4 linked regions of the Tribolium castaneum genome follow. Each later gene encodes a partner of the first gene's protein in a complex. Links are inferred from orthologs where the notes say so. Each region holds a gene or a part of one and is shown in the gene's direction. Other genes may lie near its edges. The genes, in order: U4/U6.U5 tri-snRNP-associated protein 1, LSm7, U6 snRNA-associated Sm-like protein LSm5 and Prp6.

What was found.
Region 2: U4/U6.U5 tri-snRNP-associated protein 1 (region 1) and LSm7 share a complex: the UniProt entries of both Homo sapiens proteins name them as parts of the U4/U6-U5 tri-snRNP complex. The link is inferred for Tribolium castaneum from reciprocal best matches to the Homo sapiens genes SART1 and LSM7.
Region 3: U4/U6.U5 tri-snRNP-associated protein 1 (region 1) and U6 snRNA-associated Sm-like protein LSm5 share a complex: the UniProt entries of both Homo sapiens proteins name them as parts of the U4/U6-U5 tri-snRNP complex. The link is inferred for Tribolium castaneum from reciprocal best matches to the Homo sapiens genes SART1 and LSM5.
Region 4: U4/U6.U5 tri-snRNP-associated protein 1 (region 1) and Prp6 share a complex: the UniProt entries of both Homo sapiens proteins name them as parts of the U4/U6-U5 tri-snRNP complex. The link is inferred for Tribolium castaneum from reciprocal best matches to the Homo sapiens genes SART1 and PRPF6.

The regions. Positions count from the first base shown.
Region 1 is NC_087395.1:24,228,055-24,233,764, forward strand, and holds U4/U6.U5 tri-snRNP-associated protein 1, read left to right. Parts: upstream 1-2,910; coding exon 2,911-3,088; intron 3,089-3,135; coding exon 3,136-3,782; intron 3,783-3,834; coding exon 3,835-5,202; 3' UTR 5,203-5,516; downstream 5,517-5,710. Other genes in the region: PR domain zinc finger protein 10, read left to right, coding at 95-263, 307-335; APC7 (anaphase-promoting complex subunit 7), read right to left, coding at 779-1,252, 1,504-2,652, 2,700-2,768. UniProt on the Homo sapiens protein: Plays a role in mRNA splicing as a component of the U4/U6-U5 tri-snRNP, one of the building blocks of the spliceosome. May also bind to DNA.
Region 2 is NC_087399.1:1,124,579-1,128,366, reverse strand, and holds LSm7 (U6 snRNA-associated Sm-like protein LSm7), read left to right. Parts: upstream 1-1,587; 5' UTR 1,588-1,720; coding exon 1,721-1,747; intron 1,748-1,801; coding exon 1,802-2,116; 3' UTR 2,117-2,188; downstream 2,189-3,788. Other genes in the region: ENGase (cytosolic endo-beta-N-acetylglucosaminidase), read left to right, coding at 1-468, 655-1,127, 1,179-1,296; glucose-induced degradation protein 4 homolog, read left to right, coding at 2,549-2,695, 2,886-3,053, 3,255-3,551. UniProt on the Homo sapiens protein: Plays a role in pre-mRNA splicing as component of the U4/U6-U5 tri-snRNP complex that is involved in spliceosome assembly, and as component of the precatalytic spliceosome (spliceosome B complex).
Region 3 is NC_087394.1:33,640,164-33,644,204, reverse strand, and holds U6 snRNA-associated Sm-like protein LSm5, read left to right. Parts: upstream 1-2,313; 5' UTR 2,314-2,450; coding exon 2,451-2,493; intron 2,494-2,596; coding exon 2,597-2,793; intron 2,794-2,875; coding exon 2,876-2,905; 3' UTR 2,906-2,935; downstream 2,936-4,041. UniProt on the Homo sapiens protein: Plays a role in pre-mRNA splicing as component of the U4/U6-U5 tri-snRNP complex that is involved in spliceosome assembly, and as component of the precatalytic spliceosome (spliceosome B complex).
Region 4 is NC_087399.1:6,874,555-6,880,293, forward strand, and holds the start of Prp6 (pre-mRNA-processing factor 6), read left to right. Parts: upstream 1-2,426; 5' UTR 2,427-2,466; coding exon 2,467-2,561; intron 2,562-2,608; coding exon 2,609-2,668; intron 2,669-2,715; coding exon 2,716-2,782; intron 2,783-2,827; coding exon 2,828-3,027; intron 3,028-5,739. Other genes in the region: short-chain dehydrogenase/reductase family 16C member 6, read left to right, coding at 1-3; chitinase domain-containing protein 1, read right to left, coding at 66-207, 1,174-1,561, 1,614-1,814, 1,863-2,040, 2,085-2,342. UniProt on the Homo sapiens protein: Involved in pre-mRNA splicing as component of the U4/U6-U5 tri-snRNP complex, one of the building blocks of the spliceosome.

The DNA.
Region 1 (5,710 bases):
CGCAGGAATCACTATGTTTAGTCCGCGGTCCGCGCTCTCATTTTTTTTTTTTAATAATATAGCAAGTAATAAAAAAATGTTAATGTTTCCGCAGGTGTCTGAGAGCGATATTTTGAACAGCGCCCTCGAAGAATATAACAAACGCGGAGGGGAGCAGTTTTGTCATTTTGTTGCGATTGAAGGTGGGGACGAGTTTGAGCAGTCAACTGGGGATTTGGGGGCCCCCAATTCGCATTTGTTTCGCTTACTGACAACGAGCAACGGTGAATATTTTCCCCGAGATAAAAAAAATTGATTGTGTTTTAGAACTTCCAGGTTTAGTGCCACCACGTTGAAGAAAAACCTCGAGGATTTCGAGTATTTCCGGTGCTCCTTTGTGAGATTTCCACTCAACTGAGTGATTTTGAGCGAGTTTGTGCCGTAGGTTGAAACCTACGTATTTAATAAAATGCAAAAAGTAACAAAATAGAACGAGAGGCGAAGAGAATTTTGGGAAATTGAGATTATTTTAGCAATAATTGTCTTAATTGTAACAAATTTATAAACGAACAAGCGCTTATTGTTTGGCTTGGCCGCGGCCGCTTGTGTTTAGCTTAGGGACGTTTGTTTGGGTCAAAAATGTATCCTAGATTCTAAAAGAAATGAAACCTTTTCCCCGTGATAGTACTAACACTTTGTATTTTAACACGTAAATAATTAGGGAAATGTAACCCTGTGATTGTTGAAAACAAAGTCGCGTGACTTTAAATATTTTTATTGTAAAAAAAATTGTTATCACCTAGAAACTCATATTGGTAGGCCAGGGTTCGGTATCGTTCTGGACAAAAACATCGTCCTCGGAGGCGCTCGTCCCTGGCGACGTGTACGACGTCTCCCCCACGCAGGTGTAGTAGCTCTCCCTTTTGCTTAAAGACACGTTGCGTCCGATGCAACTCAGGCCCTCGGTCGCCCTCTGGTTGGACGGGTCGAGCCGCAGGGCCACGTTGTAGTGGTGGAAAGCCTCGCTGTCCTTGTTCAAATTGACGTAGCAGTCGCCCAGCATCTGGTGGATGCGCGAGGTGGGGTGCTGTTCCACGTGCTTCAGCAGGAGCTGCCGAGCTTGGTCGTACTGCTGCTCCTGCTCGAGCAACTCCACGAGCATACAGACGGCCTTAGTGGAAAACGTCTTGTCTTGGCTCACGGCCTTCTCGAGGAGGTTTCGCACCGTTTTCCCGGACGTCATCGGGTCTTTGAGTAAAACGGAGGCGTGCAACTGCAGTGAAACTATTTTTTGTAATTGTTGTTATTTGAGGAATAAATAAGAAAACAACTTAATGGCGCCTAATCCGTTTCGACACCTAAAGCAAAGACAACGTCCCATCCCGATATTCCTCTCAGATAGCGCATTAGTTTGCCAGATGAAGGCAAACGAAAAAAAAGTGATACGTTTTTAAAATAATTCGTCCCAAAAAAACAGTCTAACAGCCAATTCTCTCTTTACCGTATTACAATTTTTTCACTTACCGTAACCGAATGTGGGCTGAAATTGAGCTGTTTGCACGCATTTTGCGCCATGGAGTCGGCCTCCCTCAGCCGATTCATCTTCACATAGCACTCGACCAAACACTGGTGCAAGTCGTATCGAAACGGACAGATCTGGATCGCTTCCGTGCAATGCTGGGCGGCATCCTGGTACTTGCTGAGCTCCACCAGCGTCTTGGCTTTCAGCAGCAACGCCTCTATGTTTTTGGGCGAGGCACAAAGCGCCTGCTGTGCGAAATAAACGGCTTTTTCGTGCCGTCTCGTCGAAAACATCAGATTGCCAATGACCACCCAATGCTCACTCGTCCACAGCGACATATCCGAGGTCGGGATCAAATCCTCCAAATACTCAACGTGTTCGGAAGTCCCCGAGCTCGCCAAAAGCGTGGCCAGTAAATCGCGACCAAAGACTAGGTTCTGGTCGAGTTTAATCGCCCGCTGGAGGACTGCAATCGCCGTCTCGTCCTCACACATGTAGTGGTAGCAGTAGCCCAGGTTGACCAGCAGCGACGTGTTGTCTTTGAGTAGACCGTGGCTGTCCATGCTTTTGTACGTTTGGGCGGCGTTTTCGAAGTCGCGCGAGTACAACTGGGCTTGTGCTTTGAGCCAGAGGTTTAGCCAGTTTAGTTCGGAAGTTGCCTCCACCATTAGTGCGTTGACTTCGACCCCTTTCACCCCCAGCTTGAGCAAGTTCTCCACGGCTTCGAGGGCCAGCGGGCACTCCCGGAGCACCTCCTTGTAGCACGTTATGGCCGAGCGCTCCATCCCGGCCTCCCTGTACAAGTTGCCGAGCGCCATGTTGACTTTGGGGGTCCGCAGGCGGGCCTGAATCGACTGCAGCATCTCGATGGCCCCATTCACCTGCTTCAGGGCCATGCAGCACTTGTGTATCTTGAACCTGATCTCCACATCGCTGGCCAGTTCGGGCTGACTCTCCGTGATTTTATTAGACATTGACTTGGTTTTTAAGAGGTGTTTGCGGAGCTGTAAGGCCTGGCGGTACAAACTCTCGCTTTGGGCGAACTGTTGCGTCTCGTACAGCGAATCGGCGTACAGCAACATCACCTGGAACTTCTGCAAAGGGGGCAAAAAGTCGGGCTTTTGCTCGGACGCCGACAGGGCCAAGTCGCACTAAAAGCACAGTTGGGGGCTCAGACTCCCAAAAGGGGGCTACAAACCACTCGGGAGATGTTCGAGTGCAGGGCAAGCTCGTACATCGCCTGCAATTGCTTCAATAAGTTGGTCATCTTGGCTTGGCAAATGTGGGGTTAGGTTTTTGAACTCGGCAAATCCCGTAACGGCGAAACCACCAATCCGGATTTCGCGCACGTCAAAACGTTGCATTGACGTTGTGTACGGTAGGTATTTCCTTCAAATTTTGTAAAAAGGATGGGTTCTAGTAGCAAAAAATACAAAGAAAAAGAGAAAGAGTCTCGTAAGCGGCGCCACCACAGCCCCGGCTACACCGACGAGCATGAGCCCCCGAAGGAGAAGCGCCACCGCCACAAGAGGCACCACAGGGACAAGAAGCGCGACGCGAGGGCGAAGCACGACTACGACAGCGACGGTAAGCACCCCGCGTCCAACTTTCCCGTTTGAATGATTTTTTGCCAGGATCCGACGTGATCGAGGTGATTCCGGACGATGAGCCTTCGGGCTCCGGGCAAAACGCTGAGAGTCTCTCGATTGAGGAAACGAACAAACTGCGGGCGAAGCTCGGCCTGAAGCCGCTCGATGTGAGTTCGGGGGACAAGTCCGAGAAGAAACGGGATGACGGGAAGAAGAAGGACGATTGGGGCGAGTTTTACCACAAGCCGGCGGAGAATTGGGCGGATAAGCACGAGAGGGAGAAGCTGAAGGGCAAATTGACAACGATTCGGGAAAAGCGCCAGCTGGAGAATAAGCTGGGCAAGGTGAAGCTGCTGGGGGACAGTGATAGTGATGATAATGTGGAGTCGTGGGTTGATAAGAACCGCAAGATTGAATTGGCCAAGAAGGAGGCTGAGAAAAGGGCGAAAATGTTGGAGGAGTTGGATGAGCAGTTTGGGGTCAGCGAGTTTGTGGAGAATGAGAAGAAGGAGAAGAGGAAGCAGAGATACACTGAGAGGAATTTGAAAGGGCTGAGGGTGGAGCATGATGTTGATAGCTTTGCTGAGGAAAGGGATGTTATCTTGACGCTGCAAGACAAGGGCGTCTTGGATGAAGACAAGGAGGATGTCCTGGTCAATGTCAACATGGTTGAGGACGAGAGATACAAAAAGGTAATTTGTTACAAATATTTACAGTGAATGATTATTTATCATCAAATTTCAGAACGTTATAAACAAGAAGAAGAAGATTTTGTATAACGCCTACGAAGACCAGGAGTACGACGAGTTTGGCAACCCCAAAGAAAAGTCGCTTTTGGCCCAATACGACGAAACAATCGACGGCGAAAAACGCGAAAGCTTCAAAATCGGTTACGACAATGCGGTTGAACGTAAACAAGCAATCGTGCAATCAATTAAGGAAAAACTCGCCAAAAAAAGAATCGAATCGATTGAAACAAAAGATTTAAAACTCGCATCGGAATATTACAACGACGAGGAACTGTCCAAATTTAAAAAACCCAAAAAGAAAGTCCGCAAAATCCGAACTAAGGGAAAACTGACCGCTGATGAATTGGAGCAACAAATTAACAACAAAGGCATCGAGGAAGTCGGCTCAAGACGCCCAAAGAAAGAGCTCGAAGACTTGACCATTGACGACATCCCCGAAATGGAATACCCCACGGACGTCAAACTCGAGGACGAGAAGGACGATCTCTTGGAAAAAGCGCTGCACAAGACACGCAAAATCAAACAGAAGGAGAACCTCGTTGCTGAGATTGTTAAATCAACGCCGGTTAAAAGCGAAAGTGAGGAAAACCTGGAGGGGAGTATTGTTCTGAACGCCACGGCGGAGTTTTGCCGCACTTTGGGCGACATCCCAACGTACGGCAAGTCCGGCAACCGCGAGGAAACCGAAGATTTGATCGATTTCGAGCGTGATCTGAAAGACGAGCCCGAAATGGACGAAGTCGAGCAGGAGGAGAAAACCGGCTGGAATTCAGTCGATCCAAACGAGCCGCACGAAAGCCCGCAAATTGCCCCACAAGAGGTGCAAATCCTCGACGAAGAGCCTGATGTCAGTACAGGGCTTGGGGCAGCTTTGAAGCTTGCAATGAGCAAGGGGTACCTGGACAAGGAGCAGAATAAGAGGCCGTCGAATTCGCGGTTAGCGCATTTGCAAGCCAAGCATTACTCTATCGAGGACAAGACCTACGGGGATGAGGGCGATCGCGCGAACCGCCGGGAGAGGTACACTGGCCCCATTATGGAGTTTAAGGAGAAGGATGGGTTTAAGCCCAATGTTAAGTTGGAGTATATCGACGATGATGGGCACGTGTTGAACTCGAAGGAGGCCTTCAGGTATCTCTCGCATAAGTTCCACGGGAAAGGGCCGGGGAAAAATAAGATCGAGAAGAGGATAAAGAAGGGCGTGCAGGAGCAGTTGATGAAGAAGATGAGTTCGACGGATACGCCCTTAGGGACTTTGAATATGCTGCAAGCGAAGCAGAAGGAGACGCAGTCGCCGTATGTGGTCTTGTCGGGGAACAAGCAGAGCCAGCAAACGGCGGTTATTTCCAAAAGTCGGCGTTAAGTAAAATGACTAAGAATAAATAAATACTATAATTTTGTGTGAACAAAATTCAGCGCTACTCTAAAAAGAAGTGGCAATTTTAAATTAAGGAAAACTGGGCATCATTGTAAATTGTATAAATTGTTTCATTTTTATCAGTTTTTATTTACAAAGTCCTAACGAAAAGTGTTACGAAATGTTTTTGTTTTGTAGATCGTTTTTAAGGGACGGGTACGATAATGATAATGGTTTTATGAATAAGTTTTAAAGTCTGGCTCCCTACGAGTACAAACGGTGTAATAATTTTTGCGATAAATGAAATGAATTAAAAGTGAGTTCCGTGTTTTAATTAGAAATTACCAATTTCCCATATTTTCCAACAAAACGGTAATAAAGGAAAATATTGAACAGAAAGTTATAGTTAATTAAAAAAATAAATGGTTGATGACCAGCTCTCGACGTGACCTTTCACGTCACTTCCGTGAGCACCATTATCAGTCATGATTAGGATAGGGATTGCACGGTAATC
Region 2 (3,788 bases), on another chromosome or scaffold:
CAAAACCCCGACCATTTAATCATCTGGTACGACAGTATCATTGAAACGGGCGAATTGAAATGGCAAAATGAGCTCAACCCCCTTAATAAATTTTTCTTCGATAATTGTGACGGTATTTTCCTCAATTACGTATGGACTGAGGAAAATATCCACAATTCGATTGAATTTGCAAAGCATCGGACTTTGGACGTTTACGTGGGGGTGGATGTCTTCGGTCGCAATACCTTCGGAGGCGGTCAATTCAACTGTTTCAAGGCCGCCCAGATGATAAGGAGACACAACTTATCAATGGCGATTTTCGCGCCAGGCTGGACGCACGAAACGCTGCCCAAAAGTGAAAATCGGCAAAAATTCTTCGAGGATTTTATTAATCGAGACTCGGCTTTTTGGAACAGTCTGTGGCCCTATTTATACACGCATCCCATTACGAGGTTCTTCAAGACCAGTTTTTTCACTGGAGTTAACCAGGTATTTAACTAATTAATTAGTTATAACGCGCCCAAGTTCGTATTACGAAAAATAGTTCGCCCTTTCTCTCTCACTCTTTCCTATCGGAACTCCTATAGCTCTGTCCTTGTCTTATGTAAATAGCGGGTTATAACTTTTTAAGTAAAATTATAATAACTTAATAAAAACAAATGCATTAATTTTAAGGACGTCTACGACCTGTTCACGCAACACCCGCAACTCTCAAAAATCAAGCACCCAAAGTCACTAGAATGGGTCCCCAACCACCACGAAATACCAACACTGAACAATAAGTGCAACTGTTTACAGTGTGCTTTCACCAGTACTGGTGTTAGGTGTTTAATTACTAAAGAATTTTTGAATAGTTCAATATGTTACGTCCATCGTATTTTCACCTGTGATATTTTCCTATCTGGAGTTATCACAATTTACGTTTTGACGAAACTAGTACGCGCACAAGCCGCTCAATTAAGTTTAAATCTCCTCACTTCGGATAAAAACGGTACAATTAGAAAAATTAAATGCAATAGCACCGTCAAAGAACACCTAATTAAAAACTGTACGTTAATGGAAATCAATCCTTCGATAAACCCCTCACTTGTTAATCACGTCGTTAGAAGTAACGACGATTTGTTTCTACACGAAAATTTAACAATTGCGTAAGTCGGTCACACGTTTGGTAGGAAAAAAAAACTAATTAACTTTTTCAGTGTTTATCAGTTTGATTGTTCGCCGTGTACGTTATTGGAAATTGGATGTACGTTAGAGGAGGGAAAAGCGATTTATTTGTGCGGTCTTGGAGTCGAAGAGCACGTTCTAGTACTCTGACACAACTTTCGTGACCAACAGTACAAACAATTTTCTGCCATACTGTACATTTTGCCAGGGCTTGAAGCCCAAATAGTTAACATGTATTAATGCTTTAGTAACGCCCCAATGTGTAAATAACTTTTTTTGAATAAATGATAACCGAGAATTTTGCATTTTTCATTTGAAACTTTGTACCTCCACTGCGCAAGCAGTCCTCTACAAATTGTGTCCCAAAATTGCGTCAATTTTTACGTAATTCTTTAGAAGCTAAGAAAATTAATTACGAAATTGCTGGACTTTACAAACCGATAATTATTTTTTTTTATTTCAAAATTAATCGGAAGGTTCCGTGCGCATAGGAGACCATATGCACGCGTCACCTCCAAACGTATTCTAGGTTAGAATTTCAAAATCGGCAAAATTCCACAAATAAAGCCGAACAATGGCATCGTCAGGTGACAAATCAAAAGTACGTACCCCAAACTGCCCCATTTCGCCCCCTCAACCCCCATTTTTACCGTAGAATCAGAGCGGTGACCAAAAAGAGAAGAAACGTAAAGAGTCGATTCTAGACCTCTCTAAATACCTTGAAAAGACAATTAGGGTGAAATTTGCGGGCGGCCGAGAAGCTAGTGGTATTTTAAAAGGCTATGACCCCCTTTTGAACCTCGTCTTAGACAACACAATCGAATACTTGAGAGATCCAGACGACCCTTATAAATTAACAGAAGACACGAGGGCCTTGGGTTTGGTGGTCTGTAGGGGCACAAGTGTCGTGCTCATATGCCCCATGGACGGCATGGAGTCCATACAGAACCCCTTTATATCCCAAGACTAAGTTTTGTACCATAAAAATACCTCTAATTTGTAAGACGTTTTTTTGAATAAAACCGGTAAAAAATTAATAAAACTGTTTTATTGCACAAACTAGCTCAATAAATTAATTAGAAGTTTAGTTATAATGAGCGTAAGCAACCACCAATGCTTATAACCAAAAGTAATTAAAGCGTACACACAAAAAACGTGTTAATTACGCTTGAGATTAACGAATAATTGCCCCAAATAATAAATCTGGGTTGATTCAGTTGATTGCAAAAATGGGTTTTTCTGTCCAAAACTACGGTTGAGTACAGTCGCCCACACATTTAATGGCCCTGTTGCGCACCGAGCATGCGCAAAAACGCTCTGACCGACTCGGATGACTCACCGCCGCCATTTTCCTTTCAAAAAAGTGACATTGGTGACAGTTGAGTGCAAAAGTGCTTTAAAAATGCCGGTCAGGGTGGATATTACGCCTCCCCCGCCGGCCAATTCAAAACAGCCGGGGGTAACAAAGTCCCTCTTATACAACGGCTCCAAATTTCAAGGTTTCCAGAAATCGAAAGGCAATTCGTACGAAGTGGAAGTGGTTTTACAGGTTAGAAGTTGCAAATAATCGCACCATTGCCCCCCTTAACCAAAATTTCGATGACTTTGTACCGTTCGAACCCTTGTAGGACGTGTGACGTCCCTTTTGCTCACCGCTTATTTAAAGAAAACTAAAAATATCAACATATGCTAATGCAATCCGAAATGGCGGGAAATTTAAATTTCGCTCGTTTTTCCAGCACGTCGACGAGGAAAACTCCTATTTGTGTGGCTATTTGCAAATTAACGGGCTCACCGATGAGTATCCCACCTTGACTACGTTTTTCGACGGCGAAATTATCAGCCAAAAGTACCCGTTTTTGACCAGAAAGTGGGACGCCGACGAGGACGTGGACAAAAAACACTGGGTGAGCACCCAAATCTTTGTTTTTAGCACAATTTCAAAAATTACAAGTAGCCAAGCATCGCAGCTCACTATCTTATAATTATTATTTTCACAATCTAGAAGGCGCCAACCCAAATGTCAACTGTTAATGGACAGTCACAGCTTACTATCTTAATATATTTTTTTTTGTATAATTATTTTCTTAACATATCTCTTGTTGCAGAGCAAATTCTCGTCGTTTTCCCAATACGCCAAAACGTTCAATTCGGACAATTTCGATTATAAGGCGCTCGGCGACACCGACTATGTTTTTATGCGGTGGAAGGAGCATTTTCTTGTTCCTGACCATACGATTAAAGACATAAGTGGGGCCTCGTTTGCCGGTTTCTATTACATTTGTTTTCAAAAATCTAAAGCCACAATTGAAGGTTACTACTACCACAGAAGCAGTGAATGGTTTCAGTCGTTAAATTTAACACATGTGCCTGAAAATAGTATACAAATTTATGAATTTAGGTGAATTGGTTGAGTGAAAAACTTGGCTTATTTCAGTACTGCATGTCCTCGTTCTCTCTCTCTCTCTAGCGAAGTTGATTTTCACAGTATTTTTCAATAAGTGTACTAGTGAGCAGTATTTATTCATTATTTTTGTGTACATAATTATGGGTAGCTTGGTTTTAATTACTTCTTAAGAAAACGACTGGGTAATTGATTTAGTTTCACGTTTGATTTGTATAAATTTTTGTTTATTTAGCTT
Region 3 (4,041 bases), on another chromosome or scaffold:
TAAACATGTATAACCCTTATTTACCTTTATGTCTCTGCTCTTTAATTTACGGTTTGAAAGCAAGGAATCTATTCGTGGTTACATTTTTTTAATTATTCTTAATTCCTTAATATAGCCCATTGAATCAGTATTTTATTTAAAAAAAGTTAGATTATGTATTTAATCCTTAAATGCTATGTCCTTTTAAATATTAGACAATTACACAATGATTTATTTATTATTGTTAGTCTTTCACAGTTACGACTTTCAAAGTCGTAATTTTTTGTCTCTTCTTTTTTTATTAGTTAAAACACAAATGTGTTCAGCTATTTTGCATTTGAATTCTATGTTTGGTTTTCCAGACATCAGTCTCAAGCAAATTTTACGAAGCACTGAAAGTCCACCACACGACTGATTCTGTACGTAAAAAATACGTTTATTTGTTAATTTACGTGAATTTTTGCCCAAAACACCATTTGAGCATCGGTTATTTTATGAATGACATAAGGAGTAATAGTTTTTCTGTGCAGCGACTATAATAATTAGTCACAAAAAATCACATGCACAGAGAATATTTAATAGCAAACGCTGAATTTTGTGTAGTAATTAGTTTATATTTTAGACTCACCTTGAGGAAGTCACGAGAAGCTTATCATGTAAAAATTTGAAAGTATTTTGGCGCTTTGTTCTTTGAATTTAGAATACAATAAAGCATTAAGCGTATTTTTTGTATAAACATATCATGGCGTTTTTATACGCGATGGTCCGTTAAGTCCATCCTATTATGCGTTCTACAGTTATTGTCAAAGTTATTACTTTCACCACTCCTGCTTTTCATGCTCATGATATGCGTTCTGGCATCGGTAATAATGCACAATGCTGAAATCGATACATCAAAATTATTCAAATTTTATTCATAGTTCTACATCAGTGTTGATATTCCCCACTTATAGATTTATGTTCCGCGTTGATATTTAGGTAAACAACGTCATGATTTATAAACACTACTGCTTAGCAAAGTGTCTAAGTTCCTATGTTTGGTGTTGGAAGTAATCATTACTTTGTACACTTTTTGTGCTTAAAATCAAAACAATTTGCGTTTGACATGAGTAAATAACTTGTCTTTTATCTAAAAATGCCCATTTCAACGGCATATCCTGTCGTTTGCATGTCTTTTGGTTGCTTTCCTCCTGTGTACCTGTAATATGCTGAAAGTAAAAATGTGGAAATCCACTTGACATTTTCTTAATAGCTTTCAGGGAAATGGAGATGAGTTTACTTTCTTTCGCCACAAATATTGGAATACATTAGAACTAACGTGAACTTTATAAAAATCTGTGGAAACAAACACTTTGTGTGAGGAACGTTGGGAAAAATAGAATATGATTAATACAAATTCGTTCAGGAATTTCCTGGCCACATTCCTTGTTAGCGGTATATCCAAAGAATGTTTATTATTCCCATAGGTATATCGGTCGTGTCTAATCACAATTTCATTATAATAATCCACATAATGATAATGTCAACCACAGTGGTCAAGTTATCATAATAGAATATTGTTTGCTGCAAGTAGCATTTTAATGTGTTTATTTAAACAGCATGGACAGGGCAACTGAACTCTTCCAAGATAACTGTAACACGAATATAAATAAAAGAAAAACTCCTGAGAAATAAAAATAGCTAAGCATTCACATTCTGCTACAATTACCATTTATTCCCCGATATAAATTATACGCTCTCGAGCTGTCGTGTTATAAAAATAGAGCGTTATAAATCATATTAAAGAGGAATAAATCAATGTGTAGGGGTATAAAGCTCTTAGAGAACGTAAATATAGGCTAAACCAAAATAACACCATTGTTTCAATTAACTGGAGTATACTGACCTTTTATTACAAATTGATGATTTTAAATTCCAAAATTTACTCCACGAACATTATTGTCACGATTTTAGACACAAGTTCACTTAAAAATACGATTATTTATTACAAAAAACACAAAACCTACAACTACAACACACTCAACTCCCACCTCGGTCGGCATTTGACGAAAACGACAAACGACTGAAATACCGAAGAAAGCCGCAAAGCGCATGACCTGTTACACTGCAAGAGCTCCAAGCTCGCACATACGCGCTCCAAAAGAAATAAAAAATAAAAACAATTCATGCATTCCACGCCGTAAAAATGTAACCATAAGGCGGTAAAGTCTTAACAAACGTGTGCCACTACTTTTTGTAATTGTCTTAAGCCGTATTTTGATCGTTTATTAAATTGTTCGGTTCCGTAACGTAAGTCCTAGCTTGAGCTTTTTGCTGTAGTTGCGACACTAGCGCCATTAAGCTCCTGTCAAAATCCTTTTTACTGTCAAATTGATTACTTTTTGCTGTTTGTAAATGTAAACAGTTGTTTCAAATATTTATTGCTAATTTAAGAATTTATAATTATTTGAACGTATTATTAAACGGTCAGAATGACTTCCATGCCTGTGTCTTCTTCCACCTTGCTTCCGTTAGGTGAGTAAAGCAAAAAAACGTAACGTGTTTTTTTGGTTATCTGCCGGTGTTTGAGCATTCAATAATAATCATTAATTTATTAACGTTGTTTTTGCTATTGTAGAACTTGTGGATAAGTGTATAGGGTCAAGGATCCATATTATTATGAAAAATGATAAGGAAATCGTGGGGACGTTATTAGGCTTTGATGATTTTGTCAATATGTTACTGGAGGATGTAACGGAATATGAAACAACGCCTGAAGGAAGGAGAATTACTAAATTGGACCAAATTCTGCTTAATGGGAACAATATAACAATGGTACTTTATTTTGTGCTTCGTTTTTATGTTTAATATGCCATACTGTATCTAATTAATTCTTGAAACTAATTCAAAATTTTAGCTTGTTCCAGGTGGAGAGATGCCAGAGTAAGTCATTTGAATAAAGTATAAAATAAGGGCATTTTTGTGTTTGTTTAATACCCTTTTTTGTATCATAAAAAGCTCTTATTTTTGATGAAAACAACACTGTACATTTAAGGAGAGATGTGTTTGTGTCAAATTTGTCCTAACTGGGCCTTTTAACACAAAAAAATAAGTTGTTCAGAACATTACTTTGTAATCGCGGGTTAGGCAACCACCTTATCTTGTTGTATAATGTGTTGCCAACTACTCCAGGCCTTTACAATGAAAAAAGGAATGGAACGACGTTAGAAAATAACTAAAAGTCGTAAAAACGGTTCGTTCCAGTGAATTTTGCGGCTCATTTTACCATATATCAGCTTTTTACGCAATTTAGAACCCACTGGAGTTGCTAAAAGTCCATATGTTCGATTTTTTTTATCCAATTTTTTGTCTCGATTTCCGGTACCCGGAACATTTATATAGGTTTGGACCAAAATAGTTCCATAATTTGAAGAGAGCCGGCCAGCAGCATTTTTTTTTCACTAAAAAAAGTCGTAACTCAAAAAAGTCGTAAAGCAAAATGGTTTGTTCCAGCGCATTCTACGAATCACTAAACTAAGGTGGGGGTGAAATAAAACACCGTTGTACTGTTATTCATTTATAGAAATAGAATAGACATTTTTAATCACAGTTAGAATACTATTCAAGTTTAAGTTTCTGATTAAACTACTCTACAGAATTTTGAAACTTTGTTAAGTTTAATCTCAGAAAATACTGTATTCAGGGTTTGCATTAAACATCTCTTATAGTCAACGAATCGTAAACTCATTATTCATCAACCACAATTTGTAATATCTATTTTGATTTAAAAAGGTTGACTGCACGATACATAAATTATGCCTATTATTCCGAAATATGGATAAACATAATCCCTTGTGCACTAATCCCCGTTAAAGTCTGTTGAAATTAAAGCCGACTGTATCATGTAGTCACCCTGAGTGTAATTCCTCATTTGTACAATTTTCAACTAACGTAGAAGCTAATTTCGATGTAACTAATGAATATAATAAGTACTACAAAGGCAACTAATTTCTTAAACCGCACCTTAGTGAGCCATGTTCCAATCACAGTCGTCTAGTAATACCTAGTTAACCTTTACACAAA
Region 4 (5,739 bases), on another chromosome or scaffold:
TAAGCCCACATTTCAAATAAATTAGAGGTGTTTGTGGTTGTAATAATTTATTTAGAAAAGGAAAATCATAACAAATCGTAAAAATATTTCAGTCCTTGTCCCAACTCCCAGATGGAAATCCCCGTCCCCAGTTTTTTGCACAGTTCGATGCGTTTGTGAATTGAATACAACGTGGGGTAGAAAAGCAAATGTTTGCCGTTCGATTCCCTAAAAAATTATATTCTCAAATCGTCGTAAAACATTACTTTGTTTTAGAAATCGGTTGCAATGCTTTTATTGGTTGCAAATGAAGAAAATAATCGAATGAGTATAAAAATAGCTACTGTTAAGTGAAAAAGTTATGTTCAAGAGCGATCACGTGTAGATAACAACATTTTTTCTATAGCAGGAATTCAAGTTTAAGAGAAAAAAAATTACTGTTAACCCTAATTGGATTTTTTTATTCACTTTATATTTTTTTAAATTCATTTTATCGTCCCTTGCGGTTAAAGTGTTATATTAACTAGTTGATAAAAAAATAGCATAACATCTGCTGAAAAGATTAAGTTCAAAAGAGACAAGTGGACTTATATTTCACGAGTATATAGAGTCTTTATCGTTGTATATAACACATTTTTTTCTACAGCAGGATTTCAAGTTTAAGAAAAAAAAATTGTTAAAAGCTGGAATTTGTTTTTTATTTTTTTCATTTTTCTTTTATCTACTCAAAAGAGTAGATAAAGAAATAGTTCAACATCTGCTATTGAAAAATTGTTATTTATTATATATACAAGTCACTAAAGAGATTGTTTATCTATGAATTGAAAAGTTAAGTTCAAAAGAGATGAAGTCACAAGTGGACTTACATTTTACGAATAGATAACGAATTTTTATTGTCGTGTAAAACACATTTTTTCTAAAGTTTAAATAAATAAAAAAAATGTTAACCCTTTAAATTAATGTGTTGTAATTTGTAAATTTCGTTGAATAAAGTAAATTTAACCTTGCGGTTAAAGTGCTACTTTAAATACTTAAAAGAAATAGTTTAACATGTGCTATAAAAAAGAAACTTAAAGGCTGAGCTGTATATTTTTTTGTTAAAAATATTATGCAACCAAGATTACACATGTGCACACCAGAAAAAATATTATTGTACTCATGGTTATTTCCTTAATTTTTTTTTAATTAACTTACTCGTATTCAACGTAATGCTCGGCGATTTGTGGATCATAAATCATCCTCGCAGTTTTCAATTTCTCCTCCAATTTTCGGATAAACTCGTGCCCCAGGATGGGTTTTCCCCCGACTTCAGAATAATGATTTCCATAGAAATTAAAACCGGTCAAAATTTTGCCCCTTTTGGACTCTTGCGAAGACACGGTTTTAATGCAGTCTTCGACCCAGGTCAAGGGGGCATTGGGGCCGGGGCGCCTCGGGTTGGAATAATCATAAGTCATGAGGGAAAATGCAGTCACATGGTCATATAATGCGTTGAAATGATCCTCCGAGAAGGGCAAATTGCGGCCCCGTTTCGGGGGAATTACCAGGATTGTGTCTAAGGATTCTAAGGCCAGGGAGTCCCCTAAGAATTTTTTAAAATGAAAAACAGTAAAATAAGGGGGCTGGTGGGGCACCTATGGTTCTCACAAGGTTGATCAAGGGGTCGTAATTCATGTCCATCTGGAGTTGGGGCCAGATCTCGATCACGTAACCGTCGAAATTGTACGATTTCGCGGTTGTTATCAGTGTTTTAATTAACGATTTCAGCTCTTTAGGGTCGAAGAGTGAGTTCATTTGGTTCTCATTCAAACCACTAAAGAGAATTCTAGGGACAACTGAATTAATTATTAATTAATGTTTTTCCAGACTTGAAGAAAGAATACTTTTAAGTTTCCTCTCCCGTCCTGCATTTTTCACGTGTATTATCCACTTCTTGTCAATATCGTGTGTTCCACTGAAGTCAAACCGGTTGTTTGATTTTTTGATTTCCAACCAAACGGGGCTAATGTGCGTAAACTTGTTCCCGAAAATTTTGGCAATGTCGTACCCCTCATTGTTCCACTAAAACTGTCTTTAAAAAACCTGACCGGCAGCTTGGAACCTACAGGAGTCACGTAGCCCAGCACAAGCCCATCAAACTGATAATTGTCAATTTCCCTGAAATACGCTAGATAATTCTGCAAAACCTCCCTCGGAGTGGCCGCTTCCGTCACCAAATTCCGGTCAAAGACGGTAATGTTTTGGGGCCCCGTTTTGATGTGCACAAAGAACTTATCGTCGCGCTTATCCTTGCGCGACTTCGGCGTCAACGTCCCGTGAACAGCTGATAACAACGTGACAAGAATGAGAAACCGTGAAAACATTTCAAAAATTTGGAATTTCGAAAAATGAGTGAGGTTATGTGTGAATGTTTGACATTTGTCGTCTGTCAAAACGTTGCTAGTCGTTCGGTTTAAGGTTAGACTTGGTGTTTGTTTGGGGCTAGTTATGGCAGCCCCACCGCAGGCGTTAGTCAACCGAAACAAGAAGCACTTCCTGGGGGTCCCCGCGCCCTTGGGTTACGTCGCTGGGGTTGGTCGAGGGTGCGTTAGGGGGTTGTTTTAACATGTTTGTGATTGTGGTGTTTCAGGGCTACGGGCTTCACCACACGGTCTGATATCGGGCCAGCGAGGGACGCCAACGACGTTTCGTAAGTGGGGTTAGTGGGGTTGTGTGTGGTTTAATTCGTGGTTTTAGGGATGATAGGCATGCCCCACCGGCGGCAAAACGCACTAAAAAGAAAGATGAAGAGGAGGAGAAAGAGGTTTGTTGACGAAAGTGTGTGTGTTTGTTGACTGTGTTATTGTAGGAAGAAGAAGATTTGAATGATTCGAATTATGATGAGTTTAGCGGTTATGGGGGGTCACTTTTTTCCAAAGATCCCTACGATAAGGATGATGCTGAGGCTGACGCGATTTACGAAGCGATTGATAAGAGAATGGACGAGAAGCGAAAGGAGTACAGGGAGAAGAGGTTGAGGGAGGAATTGGAGAAATATCGACAAGAAAGGTAATTTAATCAGAAATTTAATTGAACTTGCTATCTTCTGCTACAAAACAAGCTGATACAATATGTTAATACCACCACGTATTCCACATTTCATTGAAATGGACAATAACAATAAAATGTACTTAACTTTACGGCATCTGCTTCTGCTATAATTTATAGGAAGAATTTTTGTTCAGCTGAACATTTTTTTTAAAATTTTTGTTCTTAAATTAAATGTTATTTTTTATGCCGTTTATCGTCGACAAGATGTTCAAACGAACAATTTTCCAATTTTACAAATATATTTTAATAAATTTATAATTACTTATAAAAGAATCTATACTATGAAATTAGAAATAAAATCAGTACAATGTAATATAATATTTTACTGTGTTCTAAAATGTAGTACTCAAACTATTACTTTTCAATACTTCACTTATTCAATACCTCCTTTATTGACAATAAATGGAAAAAATAAATGCACTTACCTTTATGACATCTTCTGCTAAAAAAAAATAAAAAACAAAAATTACTGTAACATTTATTTGTTTTTTTCCTTCGGAAGCGAATAGTTATGGAATTAAAGAAATGCACTTACCTTTATGGCATCTTTTTCTGTTACATTTTGTTGCAAGATATTAAAAATAAATAAAAAACAAAAATTAGTACAATTATTTGTTTTTTTTTCTTCGGAAGCGGTCGCTTCTGAATCGTTATGGAATTAAAGTAAATAATATAATTATAAAATCTTTTCATTTTTACGAACTCACGTAACTTAGTACATTCTAAGGCAGTTAACTTCTGTACAAAGGAACCCCCAGTATAACGTTATTCGGTTTGGAAAATATTACAAGACTGCAGGATATTAATAATATCGCATAATTAACATCTTAAAAAAAATACACTAGCGCTTTTCTTCTGCTAGTTTGTAGCAAAACATTAAAAATAGATTAAAAAACATAATTAGTGCAAGATGTTAATAAATAATAATACACACCACATAACCAACATCTAATTGAAGACGAAAATACTGAAATAAAAAACGATATATTTACCGGTAGAACAATGTGCTGTTAAATTAGTTGTTGAAAACATTACAGATTTATTGCAATTTTTGTAAAAATATTGCAAATTATTGCAGACTAAGACTTTTACCGGATTATTTTTTTGCTTTCTTCCTGGAAAGCCATTAAAGTGGTACACACTAACCGCGATCAAAACGCACTAGCCAGAGAATTTTAAACTTTAAAATCGTTAAATTCTTATTTTATTGTGAGACGTCCGTTTGTGACAACAGCGAGTGACCAACTGATTAAATTAAACTGTACTACGATAATTGGGCAAGAATATGGATAAAACGTCACCATTAAAAAGTATAATCTGTGGTGTAACTACTCAATAATCATTAGGTGGAAAACAAAGAGGTCATGTTTTTTTTTCGAGGCACATATCTGAAAAATACAAGGGGACGTGAATTTTATGGTCCAATCACTGAAACTTTTGAAACTTTCTTGAGTAAATTTTAAGGACATCTTTAACTATTTGTAACTTTGTTGTTCTAAAAGATACACAGTTACAACAAAGCCACTTTTTTAGTGAGAATTTAATAATATAGACACCAATGTCTTTTCAGTTATTTGTTTAAATTTAATAAATAAGACAAGATTGTTTTATGCTTTGTGGAAATGTTCAGCTAGCCTTAAATATTTTTGTGTTTTCATTCCAGATTAAGAATGTCCTAGAATATTTGGTAGCTTGTTCGATAATGTTTAGTACAGGAATGTGCGTACAAAAACTAAACATGTCGGTAATACACTTATTTGTCCTAAGTGCAAAAATAAATATTTCTAGTTGAGTAAAAAAGGAAATCAATAGCCTAACAAATGGAAAATTAATTACACAAAAATATACTTTTAGCAGAGACTTATTTTGTTTACACAGACTACAATTCAACCTATTTAATTCAATGATATTTTTATAGCACCATAAATATTGGAACTAAATTTTTGTGAAAAAATTCCCATGGGAAAATTAGAGATTTTTCCCTGAGACAACAAAATCGTTATTCTCAGAAATTCTTGTGGGAAATTTTTCACATGGTGACTGACCAAAATTATAAATTTTGACAGCTAACTGCCTCTTTAATGCAATTTTTATTCTTAAGTTTTTTAAATCGGTAAATTACTATTCCTTTTTTGTAATTTTATGATTTGTGTTGTTTTTATGTTGTTGTAATATCTTACACAACGACGAATTTTGGATACATTTCAAACTTTTCCTGCACTAATTTTTCTCGAAAAGGCCGAAATTTCCGCAAAGCATTTTCATGACAAGTTCTATTTTGAGATTAAAATTGGTCGTAAATGATCTATTGCTTCTTAGAATATTTTTTTTTTGGAGTTTTTTTAATACTTATCAACAGATTTTGTGAATTTTTACAAAATGTAGCAGAATGAAAAAGGTATCTAACGGTCTGACATTTGAATTAATAATTAAATTTCTCTATACATTTTTTTCTTGGCATTTCTCACATACACTGTACACTGTAAAAACTTGAAGAGACACGTCAACAATTCTATGTTTTTTATGGCATACCGGAAACTATCGACTGGACTCTTGTAGAAATTTTTACTTTTTTTATTAGCCAGTATCAATGAATTGTACGAATTCATAAAGATTTTTGCTCCCAAAGCAAATATTTTCCAATGGGCCTCGGGCATAGCAAATTTTGCT